Caenorhabditis elegans: one gene and its partners. The protein of the gene in region 1 interacts with the protein of each later gene in a pairwise test. Each region holds a gene or a part of one and is shown on either strand. Other genes may lie near its edges.

Evidence for each region. Proteins that work in one complex are often made in the same cells at the same time.
Region 2: the proteins of siah-1 (region 1) and nhr-19 interact in a two-hybrid assay, tested with the Caenorhabditis elegans proteins (one large-scale study listed by BioGRID).
Region 3: the proteins of siah-1 (region 1) and mrpl-18 interact in a two-hybrid assay, tested with the Caenorhabditis elegans proteins (one large-scale study listed by BioGRID).

What each region holds. Positions count from the first base shown.
Region 1 is NC_003282.8:3,742,090-3,747,869, forward strand, and holds siah-1 (E3 ubiquitin-protein ligase siah-1), read left to right. Parts: upstream 1-1,958; 5' UTR 1,959-2,047; coding exon 2,048-2,234; intron 2,235-3,029; coding exon 3,030-3,191; intron 3,192-3,244; coding exon 3,245-3,478; intron 3,479-3,734; coding exon 3,735-4,310; intron 4,311-4,878; coding exon 4,879-4,933; intron 4,934-5,078; coding exon 5,079-5,124; 3' UTR 5,125-5,262; downstream 5,263-5,780.
Region 2 is NC_003280.10:9,599,477-9,607,230, forward strand, and holds the start of nhr-19 (Nuclear hormone receptor family member nhr-19), read right to left. Parts: upstream 6,051-7,754; 5' UTR 6,000-6,050; intron 5,773-5,999; 5' UTR 5,767-5,772; coding exon 5,670-5,766; intron 1,457-5,669; coding exon 1,331-1,456; intron 901-1,330; coding exon 807-900; intron 754-806; coding exon 626-753; intron 476-625; coding exon 319-475; intron 266-318; coding exon 187-265; intron 116-186; coding exon 1-115. UniProt on the Caenorhabditis elegans protein: Orphan nuclear receptor.
Region 3 is NC_003281.10:8,143,155-8,146,524, reverse strand, and holds mrpl-18 (Large ribosomal subunit protein uL18m), read right to left. Parts: upstream 1,511-3,370; 5' UTR 1,508-1,510; coding exon 1,380-1,507; intron 1,332-1,379; coding exon 1,097-1,331; intron 820-1,096; coding exon 670-819; 3' UTR 551-669; downstream 1-550. Other genes in the region: phka-1 (Phosphorylase b kinase regulatory subunit), read left to right, coding at 1,912-2,032, 2,077-2,200, 2,247-2,541, 2,597-2,818, 2,864-3,022.

The DNA of each region.
Region 1 (5,780 bases):
TCACATATTTCTTGGCTAAAAATTTCCGCATTTTTTTGTAGATCAAACCGATATGGGACAGCCTGATACCAACACAATATACCTAAAGCTTGCAAAGCTATCTCCAATGCTACTGAAATGCTAGTTGTAGCAACAAATAATCGTGTGCCTTATTGAGATTATTTCCTTCAGATAATTTCCTTACATTTCCTTATATGAATTTCAATAAAACGTCACTTTATTTTTTTATTATTATTGCTACATTCCCTATGCTGCCTCTCATCGACCACCGAGAGCACAAGCACCTGACCCGGGTACCAGTCACCCTAACAGCTGATCTTTCCATATGACCAACAGTGCATGACCATCAATTTTTGAAATTTTACTTTAAAAAGGTTATTGGTGCCTGATACGCCTTTCATATAAAATCGCTCTCACCATCCCTTCCCTCCAACCGTCTCTCTCTCTCTCTCTCTCTCTCTCTTCAAAAATCGATTTGATTCATTCTCATTCGCATGTCAGCTGGTAGAGAAACACAGAGACTCTCTTACAAGCCCACACATCTCGTCGTCGGTCTCTCTGTCGTCTCTTCCACCACCCACACTATCCCGGTCAGTCATTCGTTGGTGAAAAGATGTGAAAGAGAGAAAGAGAGAGAGAGAGTACGCACACAGAACGCGTTTTATTTCATATTTTTCTTCCTTTCGCCTCTTTTCTTCGTTTTATTCACTCTCTTATTCGTATTTCTATTGTGTATTTATGCAAAGTAATCGTCGAATTTGAGGGTTTTAATCCTTTTGTTAGGTTTTGAAAATATTATTTAGAGAAAGCTAAAAAAAAGCGAATAGTAAAGTTGTTTTCTTTTGCCAGATTTTGTTGTTGTTCTCTGCTTGCGACTTGATTTATAAAGTGTCTGTGTGGACAATAGAACCTTAAAATTGATACTTCCCGAAAAAATTACCACTTTCTTCATGGATTTCATCACTATTTCGTTTAAGATAACCATAATTTAACTTTTCAGTGATTTTTGTGAATGTATTACATTTTTTTTTGAATGTTTCAAATTTCCATTTTTAGAAAGTCACTTATTCAAATAGTTTGCAATCACGTTTTACTGAATCTAGTATCTATACTAGGTATTCAAGTTCATGAAAATCGGACCTTATCCCTTACTTATCTTATTGATTTTCCTAGCCCATCTCTCATCTTTTGTTCTTGATTGCATTGATTTTAGGCGATTATTTTCAAATTTTAATATAAAATTTTCAAAATTTCCTAGTAAATCTTTAATTAAAAAATTTGAGCCTCAGTTGTTTTTTTTGCACAACTTTCCCGGTAATTTACCGAAAATGAACATTTCCGACAAAACTGCAAACCGGCAAAAAATTTTCACAAACATTTTTCTGCAAATTGTGGTTTTCCACATTTTTTTCTGGAAATTTTAGAAATTTAATTTAAATTGGCAAAATTGTACGCATCCTATGAATGTTCCTACATCTATTTTGAAAAGTAAGCAAGTTCAATGAATGTATCTAAAGAAAACGGGAAAAAAAAACTTTCAAAATGACACTGTTTCAAGTGCTTCCGTCTTATTAAAAAATCCCTCTAAAAATTTCCGGCAAACGGCAAATCGGCAATTTGCCGGAAAAAAATTGCCACGTGGTGTCAAAGTGGCTCATTGCGGTTTGATCTACGTAGATCTACAAACTATGCGGGAGTTGAGACGAAGAGTTCCCAACTGATTTCAAATGGTTAACAATGTGCTGACGTCACATTTTTTGGGCGAAAAATTCCCGCATTTTTTGTAGATCAAATCGTAATGGGACCATGTGAGACCCCGTGCCACTCCTGATTCAACAAACCTATTCTAAAAACTTTACTCTCTTCGTAATTCCTCACAATTTGACCTCCAGCGACTATTTCTCACGTGACAACAACAAAACACTCACAATTCGTTATCACCAACTCACCAATTACAGAGACGACGGGAAGACGGCGGCATCCGCAGACACCGAACCACCCACCACCTCCAACATCGTCGTCCTCGTCATCTCGACTGCCTTCGCTGATGAGTAATCGGAACGGTGGTGGAGGAGGAGGAGACTATCAGGACGTGATCGAGTCTCTTCGTCGTACACAGCTCATCTTTGAGGAGGACGATAATAATAGTAGCGATTCGGCTCCGCAAGCGAATCATCTATCCAGACATCAGACTAGCAATTCTTTAGTCGAAGATATGGTTAATCACTCAAATGGTGAGACTTTTTTGAAAACTTTGAGTCTTGTTTGAAAGCCTGCTCATCCCCGAAACTTAGAAACGGCCCAAAATTAAAGAAAGGACTTAATTGTCCAACGGAATCAAGAGAGTCGGCTTTTGAATTTCTATTGAGTATTATTAATTGAGACATGATTAAAAGATCACTGTTTCAGCATTTCACTTGGTGCCAGAATGTCCTATTTCGGTTTGATCTACGTAGATCTACAAAAAATGCACGAGTTGAGACGCATAGTTCTCATTTTATTTGGCTTAAGAAAGTTTTACGCAAAAAAAGTCCGCGTTTTTTGTAGATCAAACCGTGATGGCAGGGGTTTTTTCTGACACCACGTGATTTTTCCGACACACCACTACCTTCAGCCAGCCAAACCTTTAAGCCGGAGCCCAAATCCCCTGCTTTCTCCAACCATGCGTGCTCACCAGTCATTAGTCCCCCCCCCCACATCCAAAACGACACCAATTAAAGTCACTCAACATTTCCTCTTTACTCCCACCCCCGAGAGAAAACTCGCTATTCTATCTCTGTGTTATAATCGACATATGCATCGTAAAGCGGTGTTTCGGAGCCCCTCCCTAGTTTTTATATACCTGCTGAAAACTCTCTCGGAGAGCTCGCTCGCTTCATGATGATCGCATTTTCCCCCACATGCGTTCTTGCTGCTGCGTAGTGAATGCGCTTATTATTGAGTGTATTGAAAATTGGCTCAATGAGCGAAGTAAGTGTGAAACTATATCTTGGAGCCCAGAACTAGCACCATTAAATTTTACTTTCCAGGCAACCCTCCACCGGTCCCGCCAGGCATCACACAACAGCAATGTCAAATCGGATTGACACCTCGGATGTCGGCATCGCCACCGTCTGCAGTGTCAACAATCTCTGGAACCGCAGTGCTTGGCAAAACGATGGCCAGAGTTCAGAGTAATCCCCCGGGAAGTAGTGAGTTTTTCTTGATTTTCAGAACTGTAACGCTAAAATGTAAAATTTTCCAGTACCGCACAACACAACGACGACCGCGCAAGGAATCCAAAGCGTCGCACCACATATTCCAATCGGCGGCGGTGGAGCCACCGACGACAGCAGTGCAGAGATCTTGTCGGTGTTTGAGTGCCCGGTATGCCTGGAGTACATGCTGCCACCATACATGCAGTGCTCATCCGGACATCTTGTCTGCTCGAACTGCAGACCAAAGCTTCAGTGCTGCCCGACTTGTCGGGGTCCAACTCGTGAGTTTTGAAGTTGAAATTTGAAAATTGCGTGACTAGAAGAGTTTAGTCAAAGCTGAAAAAATTACCACAGCTTGAGCAGAGCTGATATGATAGAAGACTAAGATCCTTTCTGGTTGATCGATCTGTCTCAGTCGAGCGCCTAAGCATTTTAGCTGTGTTGTTTCTCTAATGTAGCTAACGAATCAAGGATCTACGGATCTTCAAAGTTTCAGAGTATATCTCAAATTTCAAGACTAAACCTTCAATCTTACAGCTTCTGTCCGCAACCTGGGCCTCGAGAAGATCGCCAACACCGTCCGCTTTCCATGCAAATTCTCTACGTCCGGCTGCCCCCTGAACTTCCATCACGCTGATAAGACCGAGCACGAGGAGCTCTGCGAATTCCGACCCTACTGCTGCCCGTGCCCTGGAGCTAGCTGCAAGTGGCAGGGAGGCTTGTCGGATGTGATGGAGCATTTGAAGAAGATCCACAAGAGCATCACGACGCTTCAAGGCGAGGATATCGTCTTCCTGGCCACTGACATCAATCTTCCTGGAGCAGTTGACTGGGTTATGATGCAGAGCTGCTTTGACTATAATTTTATGTTGGTGCTCGAGAAGCAGGAAAAGTACGATCCAGCTCAGCCAACTCAGATGTTCTACGCAGTCGTTCAGCTGATTGGCTCGAAGAAGGAAGCTGATAACTTTGTGTACCGGCTTGAGCTATCGGCGAGCCGCCGGAGAATGTCATGGGAAGCCACACCGAGAAGCATCCACGAGGGGGTGGTAGTGGCCATTCAACAGTCGGATTGCCTAGCGTTCGATTCAAATGCTGCACAGCTTTTTGCAGGTGAGCATTGACTTTTGCTTTTATCTTAATCGGAAATTACCAATTTTTGTTAAAACTGAGCTTTCAATTTTTGTTAAAACTGAGCAAAAACAGCTTTTTTTGTGAGTTGACAATTTTTTTGGTAACTTTGTTAGACAAGGGATACAGCTGGAATAGTTGAGTGCATCATGGTGCATCGACCGAAATAGTTTTAACAGCCGATACCCCGGTTAAGTGTGTGAATGCTAACAAAAATGTAACCGCTAAACTATATAAAACACGAGAACAAATATTTTGTGAGTTGGAACTTTTTCGATAGAACCAGAAATCCAAAAAAATTAAGTTTCCTTTGAACATGGTGCATCGACCAAAAATTTCTAAGATTGATAAACTCGGTCAATTTTTGAAGATATTAACAAAGTGTCTATTAAAAAATAAAAATAAAAACCGAAATCCGCAGAGGTTTTTTTGAAAAGTTTTTAAAGTTGGGCGAGATATGGTGCATCGACCTTTAGTAGCAAAATTTTTGTCAGTTCCGGAATATAAACTTTAAAAGTTACCCTCAACAAAAATCAACTTTTTTTTTCAGAAAACGGAAACCTTGGAATCAACGTCACTATTAGCCGAATAGATACTCCACAGAGGTGAGAATTGTATTTAAAAACTTTAAATTCAAGTTTAAATGTTTGAAAATATTTAAAAATTACAAAAAAAACACATTTTTTCAATAAGCCAATTTTAATCTATTTAATTAAAAAAAAAAAAAACTAATAACTGATTTTTTTTCAGGCGCCACCCAAATGAGTTGGAAAATTCTGATCTCGAGTACGACTAGATATGCACAGTGTAAACGTAATAAAATTATTTTTGATTTTTTTCTTCAAAAATGTGATGAAAAGCTTAAAAAATTCAGTTGAAAATCCCCTTACAATCAGAACATTTTAAAAAATTTAAAAATTAAAAAAATTTTTTTTTTGGATTTTTTTTCTGAAAAAAAAACTATATTTTGTTCTAATTTTTTTTTATAATGTAGAATACCCCCCCCCCCCCCCCGCCCCCGCCTCAAAATATTAATTATCTGTATAGCATATCCTTCCATGACTCGGAATGGATAACCACAGAACACTACGGATTTTTTTTCAATTTTTTTTGGTTTATAAATTTCTTTTTTTTTGTATTTTACACTCGATTTACACATTTTACGAGCTTTCCTGTGTTGTTTTATCGATATTTTGTACTTTTTTTTTGTCTCTTGAACCACTTGCGTAATAGCCACATTTTTCTTTCCAATTTTTACGATTTTATACTTTAATCATGTTGAATAAATTTTTTTGAACTTTTTTTGATGGTTAATTGAAATTTTGGAGAAAAAACATTTTTTTTTTCAAAATTAAAGAAATTTAATTCATTCTCAGTTTTTTTTATTTGGAAAATTTGCATCATAACAATTTTTCACAATTTGAGTATTTTCAAAATTTATAACAGAGTGCA
Region 2 (7,754 bases), on another chromosome or scaffold:
GTGTGGATACAGAGATATCGGTTCCAAGCATCACCATCATTTTATGATCTCCTCCGTTTGGGGATGTTCCTCCTGGGACGTATCGAGATGTTGATGGTCCTGATGTGTCGGTAATCTGGAAATATTAAAGTTCATACAACATACAATATACAGAGTGCTTGAAAAAGCTTTTTAGAAAATCCTCACACTCATGCATCCCTGCTTTGCCAGCACTGCGAGATCAACTGCTGCTTGTCTAGAGGCGACCACTTCCAGTTTCTTTTTTCTATAATATTTTTTTAATGTAACTTGAGTAAAAAAAAAATTACAAAAACCTACCGTAACCTATCATCAATAGTCGTGAGATTTTCCAAAAGTGTCAAATACTGTGACTTATCCTCGACTTGTGGTCTTGGAGGTGTTGGTGTGGATGTTGAGCAGCTTGGGCGGGAACGGATACGACGGCATCCGATGAGATCTCGACGGGGTTGAAGGGCTGGAATTAGGATGTTAATATGAAAAATCGTCAACGGTCTTGTTAAAACACTTTTGGAGTAATTTTACAGATCTCTAAAATAGTAAAAGTAAACCAAAAAATTTCAGATCTACTTTTTTCCTTCAAACAAAAAAAATCGAAAATTCTTACCTTCCTTGCTCATTCCACTTTCTAAGCACTTCCTATATCGACAAGCTCTGCAAGCTTTTCTTGCCATTGTAGTGACGTCACATGGCTTTTCCCGTTTGCACTCTGTATCCTGACGCTGGACAACTGCTCTGGAATATGTTGAGGTTATTGATGAGTTTTTTTGAACCTAGGGATCTTGTACCTTCGAAAAAACGTTTTGCATCCAAGGCACGCCACGATTCCATAATGTTTTCCAGTTGAAGGTTCTCCACATATTAAACATTGGCCAATTACACCTGAAATGTTTTTGGATATTTAGATTGAATTTTAAATATTTCGGTTTCAAATAAGAACTCATTATTCATACATTTCACTTTTTTGGGTGATCTATGCTCAAAAACAGTAAACTTTTACTATCAGTTGTTGGAAGCAACTGTGTGCTTGAGCACATGGTTTCACTGATTTTATTGATAAACATTTTTGCTGAAACTGGCAAAAATAGTGAAAGCGGAAAGCAAAAGTTATAGAGTTGGGGATCAAAAAATTTTGATTACTGTAACTTGGCATTTGCTAGAAATTTTCGAACTCTTCTCTAGTGAGATCTTCTAGCATCTAGACCTGCAAACTGGCAAAATAAAAATTACAATATTTGGATTCGATATTTTTCGGTAAACTTAAATATGAGGTTTTTTGAAATGTTGCAATTTTTTAACAAAAGAATCTCACCCTTTTCCGGCTTCACACTTGGCATTTGTGGTGCAATTGCGGCTATACTCGGTACACTTATCACTGATGTGAATGTGGGCATTTTTTGAAATGCCGTAGACATTGACTGGCGAGGCGCCGTTATTTCTGGAAATTTTGGAATTATAGAAAGAGTTTAGACAAAGTTGTTTCAAAATTGACGATATAACTTAACAGTTGAAAATTTCTAATAGAATTTCTAGTGTTATCCGAGGTTTCGGATATATGCTTAAATTTATAAAACAAGTATATTTATATCAAACAATTCAAATCTGATATTCTAACCAGGATGTCCAAAATCAACGGATTACTTTATGGTAACAAGGATGGGAAAATGTTCAATTATCAGCGGTCACGAGGCGAGTGAAATGAAACGACGTCGTTGATGAAAGGAGGAGGACGGAAAAAGATACAAAATGAAATGAATGATAGATAGTGAATTGAGAGAGAGATTCCAAGAAACAGAGAAATATCATCGTGACAATCTCTGATACACATACACACACGCACGCCACAAACACGTTGGACGAAGGACGTACGGGAAGACGATAGGCGTGCGATGGCCGAGAGAGAGGTAAGCAAAAAATTAAATTGGAAAAATTACTGGAAGTATGGGAAAAATTCATCTGGTAGAGAACCATGATATTTTCAGACCAAGAAGTTTAGACTCAACTGTGAATGTTTCATGCCTATTTAGCACGCCTAACTCGCCTCAAAGGCATCCTACAACCGCTGTTTTGTGTATTTTAATTGACTTTAGTAATCATATTCATACCAATAAATGGGACGTTGTTTTAGACATTTTACGGTTACCGTGTAGGCGAGAAGTAAAGTATTTTATGCCTAATTGGAGGTCAGGATTCTGATCAAATCCTGTTAAACTCCCCCGATCACTCTACCTGAAAAATTTTTGCAACTACCACCACTAACACAAAATGTGATAATGTGTTTTGAAAATGTTGTTGAGAAGAAGTAGAAAATAGAAAAAAGTGTGTTGTCACGTGTGTGTGGTTCTCGCAGCAGGAAGGTTAGTTGACACCACCATCACCACGAGGAAGATCTTTGGGGTCTCTCATGAGTGATCGGTGGAGATGGAATTGGGAGAAGCAATTTGAGGGAAAGTCAAATGAAAACATTTTTATTTTTGATTTACAGATAAGAAGACACTTTGAATATGATTGTTGTAATTGATAAAGCTTCAGTAATTCAGGTTTGTTTTTTTTTCAACTAGTCTTAAGACGGAAGTTCAAAACTGTAGTTGAGTTTACTGGAAGGGAAACTGGAATATTATAGACGTTGACACAAAACCGCTTACCTGCCTACCTATAAGGCCTGAGTTCTGAATGGTGACCTATTGCATGTGAAGTTGGTCTACATTGTACAAACGACAATACCGAAGCTAACCCTACAATGTTGGATGTAGGCGGTAGGTAGGCACTTAGGCAGGCAGGCTTGGTGACACTACTATTCCAAATGGAAGCTTTAGAGGATCATAGTAAAAAATAAATAAAGTCATTTATAATATGAAAAATGGAACCTGGGCATTATACATAAATTGAAATTCAGAGTTATATTATTTTATGAAGGCAGGGCTAATTTTAATATTTTTTTTTTAATTTTAATATTTTCCATTCCAATTGTGTGAGATAGGATGCACTTAAATTGAGAACTAAAATTTACCACCAATTTTCAATTTTTAGTAAATTTTTGGTGAGGTGAAGGATACGTTTAAAACTACATTCTCTTTTACTTGGAAAATGCCTATTTTGCAAAGCAGTCAGGAATAATTATCTCTCATTGGGATTTGAACAAAGTTTTAATTATTTTGCCAGACACCTAATCTCAAAGTTAAAACCGTGTTTCATGTTTTCTTGGTCAAAACGAGGACATCTCAGTCTTTTCTGTAAAATACCGCAAAAATGACATCACGAGGTCAGAGATTATGAAAGAGAAAAGTAATTGAGCGGGGGAAAGGGAATGAAACAAAAAGTTAACAAATATATATGACACCGAATTTCAGTTTTCAAGTTGCATTCCAGAAATTCATTGTTTATGGCAGATGCAACTTTTTTAAAAATTTCAAAAAATATATTGTTTGAATTTTTGTTATGTTTGAATACCAACTACCTTCGAAGCAAAAAGAAAGACAGAAAAACAACATTTTCCGTGTTAAGGTAAAAGGGCACAAGTTTGTATCTTTGTAGTCCGCAAATTGTACTATGAAATGCCGAAAACGTGTTCAATTTTTAAAGCAGGAAGCAATCACTCTTCAAAGTTTATCTAGGTTCCCACGACCAAAAAGATCTGGTAAAAAATTATTGGCATCTGGTTTATTTTATAGTTTGAACTTTTGTTTCAATCAGAAAAAAACGGGGAAATGCTGTAACTCTATGTATAATTTCAAAGTACACAGTGGACTTCCAAATTTTTTTAATTATATATTGCAGGTTGCAAAAAGGTGTTTTTTCTTTACAAAACTCACACGAGATAAAGAGTATTTTTTAACAAAAAGCTTTTTCAACCTTAAAAAAATATTAGAAAAAAAACAATAAATTTCCACGAACCCCCACATTAAACAAAAAATTCAAAAAAAAAGTAAAATTGCACACGGGAATTGACATCAATCTCTGGTGTATTGTGTTGCTAGAGTTGCATCGCCATGGGGTAGAAAACGCAAAAAATGGAGGAGCGAATGGAAAGTAAGAGAGGAAGAGAGAAAGCACGCGCTTTCTATCTCACTCTCTGCGTTTCTCTTATTCCCCGTCACTATTTCATTTTTGAGAGAAAAGACAGTGTACTTGGAGTTGTAGGGCACTTGGTGACACATACGCAGACGACTAAAGGAAATAAACACATTGATATCACGTGGGGTTGAAGATCAGTCAACGTTTTTTATGAGGACGAATATTTACAACCTTACATGGATTTTGGCGGTTTTCGACCGCTTGTAAATTACGAATTTCACAATTTTTGGGAACCGTTTTAGAGGGTTTTTATAGAAAATAGCATTTGAAAACAAAGTTGAAACTGAAGTTATATATGTTTTGTTTGTACCAATTTTGTATAAATTACAATTTTTGTAAAGTCTCGGAGCGCTTTCCAATATTTTTGTAGGAACCAAAACTGATGGAAATAGTCTAGTTTGTTCCGAATCACATTTCACTGCAAGTGGTTTGAATATCAAGAAATCAACGCAAACGAGGCTCAAAAATCTGCAAACCACCTCTATCCTTGTAGAATTTTATTTGTCGCTACACCGTTCTCCAAAAAAATTTGAACGAGGTATTTACGGTATTGAAATTTGTAGTTTCGCTGGAATTGAATTTTACAATTTATCAATTTTAATTTTCCCCCGGTTTCACATTTTATCGCCTCATCACTTTATCATCCTAATAACCAAAGAACCGCCCATCTTCACTCTCAACTATTCGTGAGCTTTGGTTCTTCCTTGTGTCCCACCTCCCTCCTCACCAGCCAGCAACTTTAAATACACAACACAAAATATGACAGAGATCACTATGTATTACCATACGAAACCAAAAAACGTGTTCTTCGCATTGGTGTTTGGGCAGAAAATGGAGATTATGGCTTGATGCGGTCTTGTCCCCGATTCTCAAGAATTCTCCTTACAATCGGAATACTAACTAGACTATGGTTCGGTAAAAAAAGAATCTGGTAATTTTCAAATATCTCTATCCGCGATCTTGAGAAAAACCATAAATAGAATATTTCCACAGAAGACCAGTCACACTTTTTTCATGAACACCAGGTTTTCTGAAAACATTAAAAATCATATAAAATGATAGAATGCCATGATAGAACATTACGAAAATTGCTGGAGTTTTGAAAACATGTCTGCCAAAATTTTGGCAAGTTGTCAAATTCTTGAATTCTGAATGAATCTACTTACATTAATTCAGAGCACAAAATTTAAAATATTACTGACTCAAAAGTCATCAAGCTTTCACTATTATCAGTTACAAGAAAAGGGAAAAGTGTGCTTGAGCACATGGTTTTTTTGGTTTTGATGATAAATAACTTGGGTTTGAAGCGGGAAAAATGGAAAGTTTGAATGTGTTTGTAGTTAGATTGGTCAGATTACGGTACTAGCAGTATATTTTTTTCATTGCAACATGGCCTCAAAAAGGAATCAAATTGGCAATCAGCAGCAACTTTTCAGTCAACTCAATTTATTTTAAAGTGTCAATTGGAAAAGTTGCCAATATTGGCAAAAAAGGTACAGAATATAAAGAAAAAGACACAAACAACGGTGCGAAATGCTTTAAACGACGCGGGAAATCATTGAAAATGGAAAACTCACCACTTTCCAGTTTTGGAAACTGTGATGTAGCTGCTCCAAAATTGGCAATATTGAGACCTGCCAGAAAAGTTGGCATTGTTTGAAATACAGTAGTCATTATTATCTGGAAAATGTTTTCAAGAAATTGGGTGAAGCATCTGGATGAAAAGGCGTTAGAGCAACAAAAAAAGACAATTTCAGGAAAAAGCTAACAATTCTAAACAGAGCATAATTGTTTCCAACTCCAGTTTCTAGGTTTTCCATATACATTTACTTCATCAACTAGAGCCTAGTAACCACACATTTCTCCTCAATCAAGTGTTTCATTGAATTTTTCACATCAAAACTCACAACTTCCCACGTTGTCGTACGTAACTCAACTCAAGGTAAACACGCGTGGTTAAGGCAAACAAACAATTGTAATGAAGGGAGGAGATTGAGAGACAAAATTGATCTTTACCCGCCAAACAAAAAGATACACTTATGTGTGTACTTTGGCACTCGACAAAATTCCATTCTATGTGAGGGGATCAATGTTTGCAACACAAAGGCCCGGTTGGACACCTCTCCTTATTGCATACCGCTACATTACTTTGAAAGGTTTTAACTCGGTTTATTTTGAATATACCAAAAAATGATCAACTGTAAAACAATAGAAAAATAAATAACAAATGTTTTGCCAGTTGACAACTTTTGGATAACTTAAACGACGGCTGAGATATTAGTTGTCAAAGTTGAACACCACTAGTAAAATAATTACGGTAAAGTGACACCACATTTCTTCTATACAATATTTTTAAATTTTTTGTTGTTGCACAATCAGATTAGCATTTCTATCTGATCAAACATTTCTAGCAACCTCTTTATTCTTAAATTTTACTTTATAATTTTATTTCGGTCTGCCCAAATGTCTGTATGCCTATTGCAAGAAAAAATATCGCAACAGCTACAAACAACGTGTTCTCATCTCCAAATGTGTTATCGTCATGATCTATAAGTAGAATACGATGGAGGATAATCAATCTTTTTAGCAAAAAAAAGAAAACTCTCCGCGTGACTATGAACCGATTGAACCATTTATCTTGCAATCCATCTTCGCTACACTTATCAATTGATATCTGTTGGAATAAGAAACTGATGGTGACAATAAAAATTTCAAATTTCTAGAGGCAGGGATTAGAGGAACAATTTTTTAATTTTTAAGGAGCTAGTTGTAAGCGAAATTGGCTTTATGAGAACTTGTCTTTTTTTAATGAAAAATGCCTCAATTTGTCGAAAACTTTGACTCAAGCAAGTTTTCTGTGCTATTTTTTAGGTTATTGAACAATTGGAAATACTGCAATATTTTCAGTTAATAAAGGCTCTAGCAGTACTTTTAAAAAGCGACGAAACAAGAATTCTAGACGATAACAGAAAAAAAAACTGGAAAGAACTACTACCACGAGAATTCTCCACGAGTGTTATCTATTTTCAGAACATTTCGAAATGCAGTCTGCCAATCCCGCCTCCCGATTCAAAATTCTGTCACGTGTGTTTACAGAACGATTATTTACGGAAAAAGCGAGTAAAAACAAGGTTAGGTGTACTAATCCTCCTGAAAAAACCCACCAAAAAACTGAAAGTTGCAAAATGTATTCTAATTCTCGCAGTCTCTCTAGCTATTTTCAGTGGTTACGTGCAATTTTGCAATCTTTTTTTCGTTTGTTGTTGGGTTCCACTGTTCTTTTATTCTCTCGTTTTCTTCAGTTTTCAGCTTTTTTTGTGTTGTTTCTTTTTTTCAAAATGTGTGCTGACCACGTGACGTTGTTGGACATGAGGATTCTATAGACAAAGAACAAAAACAGTACGCACGAATGTAGGCGCACGATGAGTGTAGGCCGCCTTTCATTTTGCGCCTGACAATGCAAAAAGTAAGATTGAGCTCATTTTTAATTTAAATTCTTTCAGCATATCTTTTTTAAAATTGGGAAAATTATGGAATACCTCATAATTGGAGGGACTTTTAACTGATACAAATATGTGGCTCTTTAATTAATTTGAATGTTTTTTATTTTATTTTAGTACTGAGTAATCTCCTCAAATTATACTCGAAAACTTGATGAAATT
Region 3 (3,370 bases), on another chromosome or scaffold:
TTTTCAGGAATGTCACCAACTTCAATTTTGGTGACGTCGAAAATTTAAGTCCTGAAATTTAAATCCATATGCATAAAACATGGAGCTCTACATACAACACCAGATAGTCAGAACTACATTTGTTTCAATGCCTCTAAGGAGTTAAAAAAGTACGCTCAAAAACTCTAAAAATAAAGATTTTCTAAACTCAAAAAAAGGTGCTCAAAAGAACCCAAATGGGAGAAAACCGGGGGTGTTGTCAGATCGAATCCCCTGATATCTCGTCCATCCATTTTCGTCTCTGCTCGCCGAGCACCCATGAATATTACAAGGAGGGTGCGGGGAATTGGTGGTGGTGGTGGTGGCCTCCTTTCATCACATCATTCGTCATTTCACCAAAACGATGCATCGAAGAATGTTTGATGTATGTCCGTTTGCAGTCCGAAGCTTGAGAAGGCGGGATTAAAAAATCTCGAAGTTAAAACAAAAAGGCAAAAAACTTCTAGTACTTACGACGCTCAAGGGGGTGATTGTGAATAGAGTTCTAAATTGTTCAAAGTCAGAGAAAAGTTTTTTTTTTCACTCTAATAAAAGTTGAAAGAGACGAAACAAGAACAAGGGAGAGAACAAAACAATTGAAGGTCATAAACTATTTCTACAATAAAAACGTTTTTTAGAAGTGCAGGATAATTATAGCTCGTCGAGTTTATCCTGACGTGTTGGCTTCTGTGGGTACCTCTTCCATGTGAATGTTTTGTCTGTCTCATAGGAATGTTCCACGTGGGCCGGTTCTTTTAGTGTGAGACCTTCCTCTTCCAGAGCTTTGAAGAAGTGTGTTTGCTGAAAAATAATTGTTGTTGAATGCAAACAGCAAAAAATAATTTTTGCTTCCTGGTACACATCTTTTCATAGAAAGTTACGGATTTTTGAAAATTAATTCGAGTAATAAGGTAGACAAATTAGCTTTTAATAACAACCTAAAATCTGTCACTATTCGTTTTTCGAAACATTTCAAGTTTTTAAAGTTATTTTCGACAAAAACCAATAGAGAAGTTAATTTTAAATTTATCAGGACCTCAGTATCCGTATTATAAAATTGATTATTTGAAACACTAACATGTTGGCTCTTCTCGATAGCTTCTTTAGTTGCTCCAGGCATAGCAAAGTGAATTCCAGATTGAAGACAACGAAGGGCCAAAACTCGTCCAATATTCAATGCAGCAGATGTATCAGTTTTACTGTATAGCTGACTGGCAATTGAAGGTTCTTTTGTTGAAGCACTGATTACAACTCCATCTTGATAATGTACAAGGCGGCCTTCACGATGGGATTTTCCTTCCACAAGCTCTACTCTGCAAACAAATTACATAAAATTTTTTATTTTAGAACAGAAAACTTACTTATAAATGTAACTTCGAGCAGCACGGTCCTTTTCAAATTGATAACCTGTGTTCGGCGCTTGTCTTCCCATAAGTTCATTGTTCCGTGGATTTCGATTCACAAACCCTCTGGCAAATCGAGCAGCCATTCTGTTAAATAATAGAGCATATTGATATATTGGTTTAATGAATAAAAAACAAGGATAAAACAACACTTTGTTAGATAATGGATCGATAACTTAAATATAAAACTCAAATGAAAAAAGACGGTAAATCAATATTTTTAGTCAAGAAATTTGTTTTAAAACAAAAAAAGTGTTTTTTTTTTAACTTTTTTCTCAAAAACTGAGATGGCCTAGATTTGAGAACTATGGAAAACCAGGCCGCGCTGTGTGTACTCCTCTCGGACAGAGCCAATACTCACGCGCACATTTTTGTTCACCCACATTTTCTTTCTTTTACTCTCACGAAGTCTTGTTTCTGTTGTGGAAATTTAATTTATTGGTTTGTAACACTTTATTTAAATTTTCGTTCCAGAAAAAAATCGGAGAAAATGCGATCCCGGAGCGGCTCCGGGGTCCGTCTCGACCGCATTCTGTTCATGGTGGAGCAAACCATTTGCAGTCATCAAAACCCCATAACAGCATTATTTGCCAATCAGAAAGATTTTCCAGGTATTGAAGAAAACAAATTGAATCGATGAAATTGTTATTTTCAGGTCATGCTTGGGTTCGAGATAATGTTTACATCGCACAAGCATTATGGGCTCTTTATCGAGCTTATATGAAATGCGCCGATTTTGACGAAGATCTCACAAAAGCAAAGGAATTAGGATTCACATGGTAACAGATTATAAAACTCAAAAAACTACATTGGAGGGTGTTTCAGTGTGAAAATGATGCAGTCGATATTGGAATGTTTAATGCGACAAGCCGAGAAAGTCGAACTGTTCAAAAAATATCAGCGGCCTCTTGATGCTCTACACTCAAAGTTTGCTGTCGGAACAAAGGGAACAGTTTGTGGTGATGCTGATTGGGGACATCTTCAAATGGATGCAATCTCACTTTATCTTCTCACCCTCGCTCAAATTACAGCTTCTGGTCTACAAGTAGTCCGAAACTTCGATGAAGTTGCATTTATACAAAATCTGGTTTATTATATTGAAACCGGATACCGAACTCCAGTATGTTTCCCGAAAACCTTTAAAAATAAAATAATTAAAATTTCCAATTATTCAGGATTATGGTGTATGGGAGCGTGGAGACAAAACAAATCAAGGAATTCGAGAATTGAATGCATCATCGATCGGAATGGTTAAAGCTGCATTGCAAGCACTTAACGATGTCGGTGATCTTTTTGTTGATGGTTCAAGAGGATCAGTTGTTCACGTACTTCCCGATGAAATAGAACAATGCTCCGCTGTTCTCTCTAGTATGCTTCCAAGAGAATCATTTAGTAAAGTAGGGTAAATCTGTCAGAAATTCCTGAACAAATAAAACATTTAGGAAACTGATGCTGCACTTCTTGGAATAATCAGTTATCCAGCATTCTGTGTTGAAGATCCAGAACTCGTTTCACAGACAAGGGAAACTATCACTCAACGATTGCTTGGAAAATATGGATGTCGTAGATTCATGCGTGACGGGTATAAAACTGTATTAGAGGTTAGAATTATAATTTTTGAACTATTAAAGCAAGCCTAAAAAGTTTCCTTCCGTACGGTTGTGCATCACATTACAAAAAAAGTGTCATCGAATTTTTTCCATTTTTTCAGAGAAAAGCGAAAAACAAAAAAAAATTAAATTAACAATAATATTCAAGTTTTCAAAAATCAAATTTCATTTATGTTGAGAAAAAAAGTTTTCTTCTAAAATGAAGAAAATTTGCCAGCTTTTTCGATTACTCTGAAAATGGAAAAACGATCAATTCCCTTTTTTTGTGAAAATTGTTTTAAAAAAATTATTGTAAATGTAAGTGAGAAATCGGAAAACCAACACCCTTGATTCATAAAC